3 linked regions of the Macaca fascicularis genome follow. The main gene of each other region encodes a partner of the protein of the gene in region 2 in a complex. Links are inferred from orthologs where the notes say so. Each region holds a gene or a part of one and is shown on either strand. Other genes may lie near its edges.

Evidence for each region. The genes of interacting proteins can lie anywhere in the genome.
Region 1: POLR2E (region 2) and RRN3 share a complex: the UniProt entries of both Homo sapiens proteins name them as parts of the pol I pre-initiation complex. The link is inferred for Macaca fascicularis from reciprocal best matches to the Homo sapiens genes POLR2E and RRN3.
Region 3: POLR2E (region 2) and POLR1H share a complex: the UniProt entries of both Homo sapiens proteins name them as parts of the pol I pre-initiation complex. The link is inferred for Macaca fascicularis from reciprocal best matches to the Homo sapiens genes POLR2E and POLR1H.

Annotation. Positions count from the first base shown.
Region 1 is NC_088394.1:15,491,929-15,496,914, reverse strand, and holds the start of RRN3 (RNA polymerase I-specific transcription initiation factor RRN3), read right to left. Parts: upstream 3,375-4,986; 5' UTR 3,303-3,374; coding exon 3,214-3,302; intron 1,681-3,213; coding exon 1,575-1,680; intron 423-1,574; coding exon 366-422; intron 1-365. UniProt on the Homo sapiens protein: Required for efficient transcription initiation by RNA polymerase I (Pol I). Required for the formation of the competent pre-initiation complex (PIC).
Region 2 is NC_088393.1:1,665,754-1,670,535, forward strand, and holds the start of POLR2E (DNA-directed RNA polymerases I, II, and III subunit RPABC1), read right to left. Parts: upstream 2,991-4,782; 5' UTR 2,946-2,990; coding exon 2,889-2,945; intron 1,701-2,888; coding exon 1,526-1,700; intron 1-1,525. UniProt on the Homo sapiens protein: DNA-dependent RNA polymerase catalyzes the transcription of DNA into RNA using the four ribonucleoside triphosphates as substrates.
Region 3 is NC_088378.1:142,602,181-142,607,009, reverse strand, and holds the start of POLR1H (DNA-directed RNA polymerase I subunit RPA12), read left to right. Parts: upstream 1-1,455; 5' UTR 1,456-1,482; exon of another isoform or gene 1,483-1,491; intron 1,492-1,607; 5' UTR 1,608-1,617; coding exon 1,618-1,762; intron 1,763-2,008; coding exon 2,009-2,109; intron 2,110-2,316; coding exon 2,317-2,426; intron 2,427-4,829. UniProt on the Homo sapiens protein: Core component of RNA polymerase I (Pol I), a DNA-dependent RNA polymerase which synthesizes ribosomal RNA precursors using the four ribonucleoside triphosphates as substrates. Can mediate Pol I proofreading of the nascent RNA transcript.

The sequences.
Region 1 (4,986 bases), on a different chromosome or scaffold from region 2:
AATAGAAAGGAAGCATTAGAACAGGGTTTCCCAGCCTCAACACTGTTGTCATTTGGGGCTGGATCACTCTTGGTTATAGGAGGTTGCCCTGTGCACTATGAGATGTTTAGCAGTATCTCTTGTCATTCACCCACTAGATGCCAGTAGCACCCCTTCCTCCCAATTGTGACAAACAAAAATATCTGCAGCCATTACCAAATGTCTCCTAGGGTGTAAAACTGTCCCTGGTTGAGAACCACCAGATTAAAGTAAGGGAGGACCATGGAGAGAGCAAGTTCTAGAGGACAGAATAGGAGCCAAAGAACAAACTATGTCTGTATAAAGTGGCAATAATTTTGCTAATGATCAAACACAAAATTAATTACCTTTATGTCTGGATCTAACAGCTGGTTCTTCAACAACTCGAAGTCATTTGTTTCACCCTTAACAAGAAGGGGAAAGAATTAAGTTATGCTTTTGTTTCCTATTTAGTAGCAACAGCAAGACTTTTAACCATACCTTAACATCAGATGAAATTATAAAAGGAACACTAACTTTCACATGTCAATTGCAGATTATAAAATCATGACTACAAAAATTTAAACACTCATGTTAGTGCAGCCAGAGGGCTTGGAAAAAGGAAAATGATAAACTACATTTGGCTATACTTCTGTATTGACATTTGAATATAACAGTTGATACTCCTGCGAATTCTCAAAAAGCATGAGGGAAAAAAACAGCCAGCTATAATGATCTATTCAGGAGGATCTAAAAAAGTATTCACTCAAATATGGATACAAATGGATATTACATGTAAACATACGGTTACTTAACATTTTCCCTCTACTCCTGAGATATAGTAGAAATGCTTCTGAACTACCACAGAAACAAAAATCTCTAGTCAGATGATGGTTTACTGTCCTAAAGTAATGCTTAGGTAAGTTCCTCAAAAAATAAAATGCTGTAGGCCAGGCACAGTGGCTCACGCCTGTAATCCCAGCACTTTGGGAGGCCGAGGTGGGCGGATCACAAGGTCAGGAGTTTGAGACCAGCCTGGCCAACATGCCGAAACCCCATCTCTACTAAAAAAATTAAAAAATTAGCCAGGTGTGGTGGTACGTGTCTGTAATCCCAGCTATTCAGGAGACTGAGGCAGGGGAATTGCTTGAACCTGGGAGGTGGAGGATGCTGTGAGCTGAGATCACGCCACTGCACTCCAGCCTGGGTGACAGAGTGAGACTCCGGCTCAAAAAATTAAAAAAATAAAAATAAATAAGTAAATAAAACTCTGTAATTGTTTTTCATTCTAGCACTTGCTAAAGCTAAAAGATGCTTGTAAATAAAGCATGTGAAGAGGTGAAACCTCAGTAAAGACATTATTACTCTCTCATTATTACCTGTGAAACGGGCCAAGGTGGGGGAAAAAAAGGACACTATTACTCTAAGTTTGCACTGACGGCATCATGCTATTATTAAATATTTGATTTCAACTGGTATCTTAATTAAGCTTGCTATTTCTATTGGTCTTTAGTATAACAGCAATAGTTGTATTCTGACCTGACCAAAAGCAAACCTCATACATTATCTCCTCTTACCTTTTTATACTTTAGCAAGACTTCTGTCACAGTTCCACCAAACCGAACAGTTTTTCTTGGGGGAGAATTGAAAAAATCATTCTCTAATGCACGCATATTTGAAATCCTGTGGAACCAAAATTAACAAGCTATTAAGTTCATGAAAATATTAAAAATTATAATAGCCAACATTTATTGAACCAACATCATTCAGTGGGACTATTGTTAAGGCCTCTTTACTGGTCTCCCTGCTTCCACTCCTAACCAACAATCCCTCCTTCGCTCAGCAACCGAAAACTGTCTTCCCACTGCACTTATAGTAAAAATTCAAATCTCTCAGTGTGGTATTTAAGATCCTACATTAATCTGGCCCCTGCCTACCTCTCTCACCTCATCTCCAACACCTTGTTTTACTACAGCCATAATGTCTTTTCTGCTCTTCGACATGCCAAGCTGGTTCTCATTTCACTTACTGTTCACTCTATCGGAAATACTCTTTTCCCAAATCTCCACGTGGCTGGATTTTTTTGTTTGTTTGTTTGTTTGTTTTTGAGACGTGTCTTGCTCTGCTGCCCAGGCTGGAGTGCAGTGGTGTGATCTCGGCTTAACTGCAACCTCCATCTCCCGGGTTCAAACAATTCTCCTGCCTCAGCCTCCTGAGTAGCTGGGATTACAGGCACCCGCCACCACGCTCGGCTAATTTTTGTATTTTTAGTAGAGATGGGGTTTTGGCATGTTGGCCAGGCTGGTCTCGATCTCCTGACTTCAGGTGATCCGCCCACCTCGGCATTTCAAAGTGCTGTGATTACAGGCGTGAGCAACTACTCCCGGCCTAGACTTTTGTCTTCATTCAAGTGGAAGCTCAAATGTCAGATGTCTTCCCCACGAGAAATCTCAAGTACTCCTTCTCTCCCTTCTCCCTCCCCATTACCCTGTTGTATAACTGAAACCATCGTAATTTATTGGCCTATGTACTGCCTTTCCCCCATAGGCTGTAAGCTCTGTAGAAAGCAGGGACATTAGTGTCTTTGGATAAACCACTGTCCCCAGTGTTTAACATAGTAAGCAGGAGATCGATAAATATTATGAATCATATTATGCTAATTGTTTTACAAGGTCTGCTTCACTTACACAGAGTAAATTAATGAAAAAACATAGCATCCTAATGACTCTGAAAGTTAAACGCCAAGTGTGCTATGGGGGTTAGGGATTTAAAAGCGGAGCAAAATAAAGACTGCTAAACAAATACGTGTGTCGAAACAAATTTCAAACAAAAAAGATGTAATATTCAATTTGCCATGAGTGACAATATTCGGCTGATAAACCGAATAGCCCAGGGAATCCCTTCCAAATTTGGACGAAGAAGCGGGAAGAGGAGTCAAGGCGCAGAAGGCAGTACCGAGGCCTGGGAAATCACGAAGAAATACAGTCGGGAAAGGGGGGCTCCAGAACAGATAAAATACTGACTTTTCCAGGCCCCACCCATGTCTATTACCCAGTTAGGAGGAATGAGCTCATTCCCGCGAACATGAGATGACCCTCGACCCCGTGCTCTTACCACACGCCATTAGCTTTGTCCCAGACCCTTTCAATCCGCTCCCCTAAGCGCAGTCCTGAGCTTTGGTCTCGGACGCGCAGAAGGAAGCGGCCTGAATCTTACCCAGTCCTCGACGCGCCCAGCGTCTTGACTGCAGAGGCCGAAGCAGCCGCATCTCCCGGCAACCGCGTGTGAAGCAGTGGTGCCGCCATTGGGCCGAACTAACACGACCGCTGCGCCTCAGGCCGGATGCTCTGCTCCTTCCAGCCACAGCCCTCTGTCCCGGAAGTTGCGCTTGCCGGCGCAACCTTCAGCCAATCAGGGACCCCGCGTGGGGAGAGCGTGTGCTCTCCGCGAGCTAGAGCGCCGCCAAACCCCGCCCCTCATTCTACTTGGACCACTTGTTCCACTCAGCGCGAATGCGCGAGTAAGGAGAGGCAGGAAGGTCCTGCTCCATCCAGGCCCAAGAATCCCAAAGAAAGGGTGGAAATACTCTGGATGTGCTAAGCTGTGGCCGGGTACACTCGAGTGTTAATTTTTTGGAGTCAAAGCCTCCCTCAGTTAAATCAAAGAAACTGAAGCACTGTGATTGACCCAGATCCTCACGGAGGAAAGGGGATTTGAACCCGGGTGACCCAGGAGCCTGGGCTCTGTACTCAATGCAACATTCTTACAGACCACCAAGATAACGTTATCCTCACGTAAACGAGCTCGACGAAGTGATCTACCCCAGAGCCTCAAGGCTGTGATGATGCTGGAATGAGAAACAGCAGGAGAGTTTCCAAGAGGTGTTACCCCCTTGACTTTTTTTTTCTTTCTTTTGAGACCTAGTCTTGCCCTGTTGCCCAGGCTGGAGTGCAGTGGCGTGATCTCAGCTCACTGCAACCTCCATCTCTGTTGCCCAGGTGGAGTGCAGTGTCGTGATCCCAGCTCACTGCAACTTCCGCCTCCTGGGTTCAAGCAATTCTCGTGCCTCAGCCTCCCAAGTAGCTGGGATTACAGGCGCATGTCACCATACCCGGCTAACTTTTGTATTTTTAGTAGAGACGGGGTTGCACTATGTTGGCCAAACTGGTCTCGAACTGCTGACCTCAGGTCATCCACCCGCCTCGGCCTCCCAAAGTGCTGGGATTACAAGTGTGAGCCACCGTGCCTGGCCAAACTTAAATTTTTAAAAGAGGAACAGGAGTCAACCAGACCAACAAAAGAGCGACTGGTGTTCCAAGCATAGGAAACAGGAAACAGCAGAGGCCAAAACCTCGGGACTGTAGGGGATGTAGAGGGAGAGCAGAGGCTGCCCCTACCCTCAGGGAGGGGAAAAGGTTGCAACTTTGGAAACTATACAGGCCTATCAAAAATACAAAAATATCCAGGCTGGGTGACGCCGTGAAACCCCATCTCTACGAAAAATGTAAAAAATAAAAACAATAAAAATTATCTAGGTGTGGTGGCACACACCTGTAGTCCCAGCTACTCGTGAGACTGAGGATTGCTTGAGCCAGGGAGATAGCATCACTGCACTCCCACTTGGGCAACAGAGCGAGACCCTGTCTCTAAATAAATAAATAAATTTTTAAAAATGCATATGTATGGGCCGAGCACAGTGGCTCACGCCTGTTATCCCAACACTTTGGGAGGCTGAGGCAGGTGGATCACCTGAGGCCAGGAGTTTGAGACCAGCCTGGCCGTGACGAAACCCTGTCTCTACTAAAAATACAAAATTAGCTGGGCGTGGTGGTGGTGCCTGTAATCCCAGCTACTTGGGAGGCTGAGGCAGGAGAATCGCTTGAACCTGGGAGGCAAAGGTTGCAGTGAGCCAAGATCGTGCCATTGCACTCCAGCCTGGGTAACAAGAGCGAAACTGTGTCTCAAAAAAAAAAAAAAAACAAACTCTGT
Region 2 (4,782 bases):
TCGTGAAATCCCATCTCTATTAACAGTACAAAAAATTGGCCAGGCACGGTGGCTCACACCTGCAATCCCAGCACTTTGGGAGGCTGAGGCAGGCGGATCACAATGTAAGGAGATCGAGACCATCCTGGCTAACACGGTGAAACCCCGTTTCTACTAAAAATACAAAAAATTAGCTGGGCGTGGTGGCGGGCACCTGTAGTCCCAGCTACTCTGGAGACTAAGGCAGGAGAATGGTGTGAACCCGGGAGAAGGAGCGTGCAGTGAGCCAAGATTGTGCCATTGCACTCTAACCTGGGCGACAGAGCGAGACTCCGTCTCAAAAAACCAAATAAACAAATAAATAAACACTACTAAAAAAAGTAAAAGTAGCCAGGTGAGATGGTGTATGCCTGTAAACCTAGCTTTTTGTGGGAGGCTGAGGTGGGAGGATTGCTTCAACCCAGGAGGTGGAGGTTGCAGTGAGCCGAGATTGCGCCACTGCACTCCAGCCTGGGCGACAGAGAGAGAGACTCAGCCTCAAAAAAAAAAGAACAAGAAGAAGACCGGGCGCGGTGGCTCACGCCTGTAATCCCAGCACTTTGGGAGGCCGAGGCAGGCAGATCACCTGAAGTCAGGAGTTTGAAAGCAGCCTGGCCAACATGGTGAAACCCCCTCTCTACCAAAAATACAAAAAAAAAAAAAAAAAAGCCAGGTATGGTGGTGGGTGCCTGCAGTCTCAGCTACTCAGGAAGCTGAGGCAGGAGAATTTTGAACTCAGGAGGTGGAGGCTGCAGCGAGCCGAAATGGCACCACTGCACTTCAGCCTGGGTGACAGAATGAGACTTTCAAAAAAAAAAAAAGCAGTAGCATCACCCGCTTGGCAGACACGCTCCGTCCACCCCACTGATTAATTCTGGGCACGCGGCTGTGTCCCTAGGCGCTGGTAGTCCCCCAACCACTGAGGGCGCTAGAGCCATCCTGGGGGGGCAGACAGGTGGGGAGACTTCCACGGTGCAGGTGCTGAAACCGAGGGTCCCAGGGGTCCCGGGAAAAGCGGCCTGAGCACAACCTCGAGGGATGAGTAGCGGACGCTGACAGGGCAGAGGCGGCATGGGGTGCAGAGGAATGGGCTGGGGCAGACAGGGGCCACAGCTCACAAGGAGGCTGCGCTGACCCACACGGGGCCTCCTGGGCCAGGCCAAGAAGTTGGAAGTGCACCCAACGGCCAGGATGAGGGAGCCAAGGAACACAGGTAGGGCAAAGGTCATGAGGGGCTGCGGGTGAGTAGGGAGGTCCATGGGACTCTCCTGGTTGGCAGGAAGAAAGGGGACCGATGAGAGGGAAACCAGAAAGAGGCTGCGCATGAGAGGGGTCAGAGGTCCACGGCATCGCCCACAGCAAGGAAGAGGAGGGGAAGTTTTCCTCCCAGATTGGGCAGAGGATCAAACGCTGGGCACGAGGCGGGAGGGAGGGGGTGCTAGCGGCCGGCTCCTCAGCAGGTGCTCGGGCGGCTCCACCAGAACTCCCCCGGGGACCCGCTGCTCACCTGGAAAGAACACAAACATCTGGTCGGTGGGGTCATCGTTGTGGGCCACCAGCACGGTGAGGTCAGTGCGCCGCGGCCGCCCCTCACTCGGCTTGTCTCCAAATTGGGCTTTGAACTCCTCCAGTGTCTGGTCAAGCTCGTCCTGGGTCACTAGGTAGCCACGGTCGTGGCACAGCTGCAGAGAGAAAGAACCAGCTGACCCCAGGGCAGAGACAGGAAGGCGGCCAGAGCTCGTGACCCAGAAGTCAGACCTGCGGCTGCTGCAGAGGACAGAGGTGAACAGCAAACGGAATGAACACTCGCTGTGTGCCCCATGACAGCCATCCTGGCCCCCACAGCCCCACACCACAGGATGGGACCAGCGTGATCCCGAGAGGCTCGCAGAGGTGTCCAGCCTTGACCAAGACCGTCCGTCTATCCAGCCTCACAGGAACCTGGCAGGGGGCAAAGCCCTCCAAACCACTTTGCAGAGCTACCCTAAAGACAGGGACAAAGACGGGGCGTGGGGGGTCACGTCCGCGACCCCAGAGCTCAGGGAGGCCGAGGCAGGAGGGCTGCTTGAGGCCAGGAGTTCAAGGATGCAGTGAGCTATGACTGCACCACTGCGCTGCAGCCTGGGCGACAGAGTGAGAGCTTGTCTCTTAAAAAAAAAAAAAAAAAAGACAGGGACCGAAACAGATGTGACTTCAGGCTGACAATGTTTGCGGCCCGGAGGAAGGAGAATCAGGCTGCGGGGGGCTGCGCTAAAGACAAGGGCATAGGGTGGGGAAGCAAGACAAAACAAAAGCTCCCAAACGGCCCCAACGGCTGAGGGAGGACCCTGAACCGCAGGCCCTCAGACATTTGCCCAGTTTCCAAACCGGAGTCGGCCCAGTGGCCTCCATCTGTCTCAGACCCCGAGGCACGGGTTCCGGGCTCCACGTCCCCATCGAAAGCCCCAGCTCGCCTGCTGCTTCCCAACCACCAACTCCGCCAGCCTCGGATGCTGAGACGCCCTGGGGTTCAGGGCGCAAGGACAAATGGCGACGCTGAATCACAGAGTGGGGCAGGGTCTGGGGGCGCCCCCCGTCCCCATTCGCACCTTCCTCCTCTCGCCGCCATGTGCGCCGCACCAGCCCAAGCCGCCCGCCCACCGCTAAGCCCCGCACCCAGACGTCTCGAAACCCCCTCCCTTCCCCGCTGCCGGCTCAGGTCGGGCCCAGCGCCTGGGATCCCCGGCGGCCTCGGGGTCTCCCGTGTCGGCCGGGCCCTCCGTCGCTGCTGCTGCTGCGACGGGAGTACGAGGAGACGCCGAGCTCGACCTCCCCTCGGGCCCCTGCACCTGCTGCTCGCGCCCCCGCCCCCAACACCACGCGCGGCTCACCTGCATGATGGTCTTGCGGATTTTCCAGAGCCGGTACGTCTCCTCCTCGTCGTCCATCGCCGCCACTCGCACCCGTTTTGCCTGCGAGAACCCGCGCGGACTGCGCCTGCGCCGACTCCCAATCAGGCCCCCTCCACGTAACCCCGCCCCGCGATGGGCTGTCGTCGGCGAACGCCTGAATGCAGCAACTTCCGGGATCGGCAGCGCCAAGGGCAGCCCGAGCCTTGCGAGAACGGCAGTTTGCTGCGCGAGACTCTCCCTCCGTAGTTCTCGTGTGTCTTTGGCTGCACGGCCTCTTGGGAGTTGTAGTTTCCGTTCAACTCCCACGTTGCGGGGACAGTTTAGAATCCCATAAGGCGGGGGCGAAGTGTGGGCGGGGAAACTGAGGCCTGGAATGGGTAAAGGGGCAGCTCGGCTCCTAGGGACGGTCGGGGAGCCTAGTGGGAACTCTATACATATTTGTGCATCAAACTGTACAGGGTTTCCTCTGTTGGCTCCAGGCCAGGTCAGGGTTAATGCCCTTGGGCCTCAGTTTCCCTACCTGTGCAATGGCAAAAAGTGTCCCTACTTTAGGCGGTTAACTGAGAGTCTTAGGTAGAGCTAGGCATATCTCTAGGTGCTTTTTAAGTCCCTTCACCTCTGTCCTCTCCCCTGAGTGCCAGCCTAGCCTGGGTATCTCCCCACCCCAGATCCGTCCTGTCTTTGCAAACCTCACCTCCCCAGATTCACGGAGGATCCCAGCCCAGCACTCGCTGTGTGAAGGCAATCAGTCACTGACTCAGTGACGCATTCATTAATTCAGCATTTACTCAGCAACCTACAGTGATGGTGAATAAAAACAGGCCAGGTATCCCTTGCATTCAGAGACAGGATTTAGTAAAATAACGTTACTGGGCGCAGTGGCTCATGCCTGTAATCCGAGCACTTTGGGAGGCTGAGGTGGGCAGATCACGAGATCAGGAGATCGAGACCATCCTGGCTAACACGGTGAAACCCCATCTCTACTAAAAATACAAAAAATTAGCTGGGCCAGGTGCCCGTAGTCTCAGCTACTCGGGAGGCTGACGCAGGAGAATCTCGTGAACCTGGAAGGGGGAGGTTGCAGTGAGCCGAGATCGCGCCACTGCATTCCAGCCTGGGCCACAGAGTGAGACTCTGTCTCAATAAATAAATAAATAAATAAATAAATAAATAAATAAATAGGACAGGCGCAGTGGCTCATGCCTGTAATCCCAGCACTTTGGGAGGCCAAGGTGGGTGGATCATGAGGTCAGGAGTTCGAGACCAGCCTGGCCAAGATGGTGAAACCCTGTCTCTACTAAAAACTACAAAAATTGGCCAGGCGCGGTGGCTCAAGCCTGTAATCCCAGCACTTTGGGAGGCCGAGATGGGCGGATCATGAGGTCAGGAGATCAAGACCATCCTGGCTAACACAGTGAAACCCCATCTCTACTAAAAAATACAAAAAGCTAGCCGGGCGAGGTGGCGGGCGCCTGTAGTCCCAGCTACTCAGGAGGCTGAGGCAGGAGAATGGCATGAACCCGGGAGGCGGAGCTTGCAATGAGCTGAGATCTGGCCACTGCACTCCAGCCTGGGCGACAGAGCGAGACTCCGTACCCCCCAAAAAAAACTACAAAAATTAGCTGGGTGCGGTGGTGAGCACCTGTAATCCCAGCTACTCGGGAGGCTGAGGCAGGAGAATCGCTTGCACCCGGGCAGGCAGAGTCTGCAGTAAGCCAAGATCATATCACTGCACTCTAACCTGGGCAACAGGGCAAAACTCTTTCTCAAAAAATATATATATAATAATAAATAAATAAATAACAACGTTAGAAAGTGACAAAGCTAAGGAATAAGAGCAGAGAGGCTAAGTGACATGGGGAGAAGGAGAGAC
Region 3 (4,829 bases), on a different chromosome or scaffold from region 2:
GGGATGTTGGGTGAGTGTTTTTCAAATTAAAAAGAGAAAATTGAGAAGGGTAGAATTTCAAGTTCCATTTTCAAAGGAGACACACAGATAAGTGAGAATAAAAACTGTCTACGACAATCAGCTCAACAACACATCTCCCTTTGTCAGACAGAATAACAAGCAATTTCACAGTTAAGTGATAGGGCTTGTCACTCTTCAGCAGTTTGCTGAGTTTTAACCCTTTAACTATGGTGTTCTCTCCATTATCACAGAGAAAGGCAGATGGGAGCCTCTCCCAGCGAAAAGACTACAGCTTGTGTCCTTCACAGGACAAAATAGTGATGGCTCCAGAACTTTCATATGAAGGAACTTAGCACAGCTATCAGAGTGGGTGGTGGTGGGAGGACTAGCATGAAACTAGTAAACAACGACAAGCTGCCCCTTCAGGGAAAGTTTCTACTTCGAATATAAGTTACAGAGTAACGAAAATAGCAAGATTTCCGAAAGAAACTTATTCCCATGTTTTATAAAAGATCAGGGAAATGTCAGCTGTCCACTTAATGGATGACGAATAATGAATTAAGAGTTCGATAAGCGGCAGGCACAACTAAAAGCCAAACTCGACCTAAGTCTTATGAAATCCTACTTAATGAGCTTCTTGACTACTGCTAGCCTCACTTATCTGGCAGGAGTCGAAGGAGGGGAAGCCCCAAGCTCTTCTGTTCTACCACCTCCAAAGTCCTGAGCCCCTTCTCAAGTGTCCCACTTCATCCCTGCTTCCTTTCGTCCCGTGGGACTAAGGATTCCTCTGGCCTTCACCCTCACCACTTGCTGTCCCTCAAGAAGCCGACTCACCCCTTTCCAAGCGCGGTGAACCGTCCGCAAAGCACAGGCCGGCTGCGCTCTGCAGAAAGCCCACGCTCGCCAGCGGGACCCAAGGAACGCTAGAACTATACATGCCAGAACACTTAGCTTTGTTTTTAACTACTGTGCAGCCGCAAAAGGGAAATACCAGCTCAGGACCCAGGGGAGTTGTAGTTCTCTAATCCAAAGAAGTCATTATTCAGCAAAGTACGGTTTTCAGGAGGATATTCCCCCGCGATTGGGTTCCCGTAGGATGTGAAACAGAGAATAAATATCCCAGGATTCGGTGCTGGTGGGAAAATTTGCTGGAAGCGCAGCATTGGTTACCAATTTTGTGCTCAACGTCTCAGTACCAGCCTGAAAGTTGAGCCCCAACCTCCCTTAGAAGAGGTGACTCTCCATCTCTAAGGCTTCCGAGACACGGTTCGCAATTAATTATGACGTCACAGCCAATCGTCAGCGTGAAAGCGTGACGCTCTAGCCGGCTCTAGCTCGCTGCCCCGCCGCGGGCGCAGAGCTGGCGCTCTAGCCCACGGAGTTGGCCAGCTCCTCTCGCCGGCCCCAGGAAAGGGTTCCAAGTCCTTTTAGTACCCGACGCTGTCTGGGAGTTCCGGGCGTTTCGGCTCCTTGGTCGCAGAGGCAGGAGGCGTGCGTGGGAGGAGGACTCGGGTTATATACTCCTACGTCCTGGGACGGAATAGTTACCAACTCTGGGGCAGGAACTCTTCTCTCTTTTGTTAATAAACTTCTAACTCCCTCCTCAGACCCGACTGCATGTCTGTCATGGACCTCGCCGGTACTTGCTCCAGCTTTCAGTCGGACTTGGATTTCTGTTCAGATTGCGGCTCGGTCCTGCCTCTGCCCGGGGCTCAGGATACGGTCACCTGTACTCGCTGTGGCTTCAACATCAACGTTCGGGGTGAGAGGCTTGTACACAGGGGTCCTGGCGGAGGGCCCAGGATCGGAAGCTTGGGGAACTCAAGATAGGTTGGGTTCAGAAGGGGATCCTAGAGCAGGACATCAGGCAGTTGTACATTTGGTCCAGCGATGAAAACTGAGGGAAAGGATATAGGGCCTCCTGGCCTAACCAGCCAGGGGAGAGGGGAAGTTTCCGGTGTCAGCTCCCTCAGGTTGTCTCCATAACCAGTCTTACTTGCCTGTGCAGACTTTGAGGGGAAGGTTGTGAAGACTTCAGTTGTGTTCCACCAACTGGGGACAGCCATGCCTATGTCGGTGGAGGAAGGGCCTGAGTGCCAGGGACCTGTGGTAAGTTAATGAGATCAAGAACTGGCTCCATAAGGTGGGTAGGAAAGAAATGGAGGAGTGATTGCAGAGATCTGGAGAGTTTTGTGCCCAATTCCAAGTGGGAAAAGATGTAAAGCATCGATGTTTGAGAGGCGTGATCGCCTGGTTCCTGTGGGAAGTAAGGGTATGATATGACCAGGCCTCCATAACCCACCAGTTTCTTCCCAGGTTGACAGGCGCTGCCCTCGATGTGGTCATGAAGGAATGGCATACCACACCAGACAGATGCGTTCAGCCGATGAAGGGCAAACTGTCTTCTACACCTGTACCAACTGCAAGTGGGTATCCTTTCCCCTCCCTTTGCTCAGTCTGTTTGCTAACTAATAAACAAATCCAGTGATTTATTTTTTTGTACTAAACGGCTGTGTCCTTTCGTCCCATCCCTTATTTCTGTGCAGTTCTGGTAAGAGGGAGATTTGTAGTTTTTATTTTTTTAAATTACACTTTTTTAACCCTTTTTGTAACCAGTGAAATAAACCTTTTAGGTTTTTGTTTTGTTTTTTTTTTTTTTTTTTAAATGGACAGGGTGTTGCTCTGTCACCTAGCCTGGAGTGCAGTGAGGCAATCTTGGCTCACTGCAACCTCCGCCTCCTGGGCTCAGGTAATCCTCCCACCTCAGCCTCCAAAATAGCTTTGGGACCACAGGCACGTGCCACCACACCTGGCTTTTTGTTTTGTTTTGTTTTTTGTATTTTTAGTAGAGATAGGGTTTCTCTCTGTTTCCCAGGCTGGTCTTGAACTCCTGAGCTCAATCAACCCACCTCAGCATCCCAAAGTGCTGGGGATTACAGGCATGAGCCACCCTGCCTGACCTTCTTTTAGGATATTTAAAAGGAAATGAAGAAAAAAAACCATAAGAAGCAAGTATTGTTTAGTGGTCAGCGTCTTATACTGCAGTCTTCAACCGCAGTCAAGGTAGCTTTACTTTGGAGAGAATTAGTCACACATGATTTAGAGAACATGGGCTTTCTGAATGCTTTTAAGACCTCATCTTTGTCTTTGGTGTTCTGCAGTCACTATAGTATATCAAAATGTGATTTTCTTTTATTCTGTTTGGGATTTGTTGGACTTTCTGAAACTGAGAGTGCATTGTTGTTTTTTGTTTTGTTTTGTTTTTTTGAGACGGAGTCTCGCTCTGTCTCCCAGGCTGGAGTCCAGTGGTGTGTTCTCGGCTCACTGCAAGCTCCGCCTCCCGGGTTCACGCCATTCTCCTGCCTCAGCCTCCTGAATAGCTGGGACTACAGGTGCCCCCCACCACGCCCGGCTAATTTTTTGTGTTTTTTAGTAGAGACGAGATTTCACTGTGTTAGCCAGGATGATCTCGATCTCCTGACCTCGTGATCCACCCGCCTCGGCCTCCCCAAGTGCTGGGATTACAGGCGTGAGCCACTACGCCCAGCCTAGAGTGGATTTTTTTTTCATCAACCTTGGAAAATTATCAGCCATCATCTCTTTTAATATTCTCTTTCCCCCATGTTCTCAGTCCTCACATTCTGGACCTCTAATTAGTTACTAGAATGAGATTTCTCTCTTCTGTCCTCCATTTCTCTCGCCCTCTTTTCATATTTTCAATCGCTTTTCTCTTTATGCCACCTTCTGAGTAATTTCTTCAGGTTCCTCTTCCATGTCACTAGTTCTGTCTTCAGTTTATTTCAAATATTATTATTTTTTACTATTGTTATTATTTTGAGTTCTATTTAATTACTTTTCAAATCTCAATTTTTAAATAATTCTCAGTTCCTTAATCATATTTTAAATTGTTCCTTTTACTAGTCTTTAAATATATAAAATATTAAATATAGTTATTATATTCTATGTCTCATAATTCTGATATCCATGGATTTTGTGTGTCTGATGCTGCTGTCTGTTTCTGCTGTCTCTCTCATAGTGCTTTTTTCTTTGTTTTGTAATTTTTGACAATAAATTTGAGTTTTTTAGAACTTGAACTGTAGGAATTCTTTGAGGCCTTGGGTAAGTGCTGTATTCTCAGCATTTGTGTTTCTTTTCTAGGTGCCTTGAAGCACTATCAAGCTGGAATTACTTTAAATAAATTCTTGGCTTCATGTTTTTTGGAGCACACAGATAGTATGAATTTGAGCTGCAAATCCATGTAAGGGCTAGCTTATGGCTAGAAATTCTCAGGAAAGAGTTTTCTCTCTTTCTACCTACTGAGACAGTCAAATTCCCCTTCTATAGAGTTGAATTTTTTCTTTTGTTGTTCACTTTTACAAAAAAGGGCAGCCTTTTGCAGTTCCCAAATTTATGCACAGGATCTCCTATCAACCTTACACATTTTGTCCCTCATTTCCTATGCTTCCAGTGACTGTTGCAACAGTATAAAGGGCACCATAGTGTCACTGTCACATTTCATAGGGACATCAGTTTTAACTTCACTGTCTGGATTTCTGGTTTTACAGAACTTTTAACCAGTATGAAGACTGCCTTTACTTTCTTGCCATCTCATCAAAAGATTAAAAATATTCATAGTCAGATATATCTTTTAAAAGTATTTTTTTCCTATCACTGATTGTCATTTTACCAAAAAAAAAAATTAAAAAAATTAAAAGAAGAAGAATTTTTTCCCAGCCTGTGGCTTGCCTATTTATTTTCTTAACCCTCTTTAAATGAGCAGAAGTTTTAAGTTTTTATAAGGTCCAGCTTATCCTTTTTTTTTTTTTCTT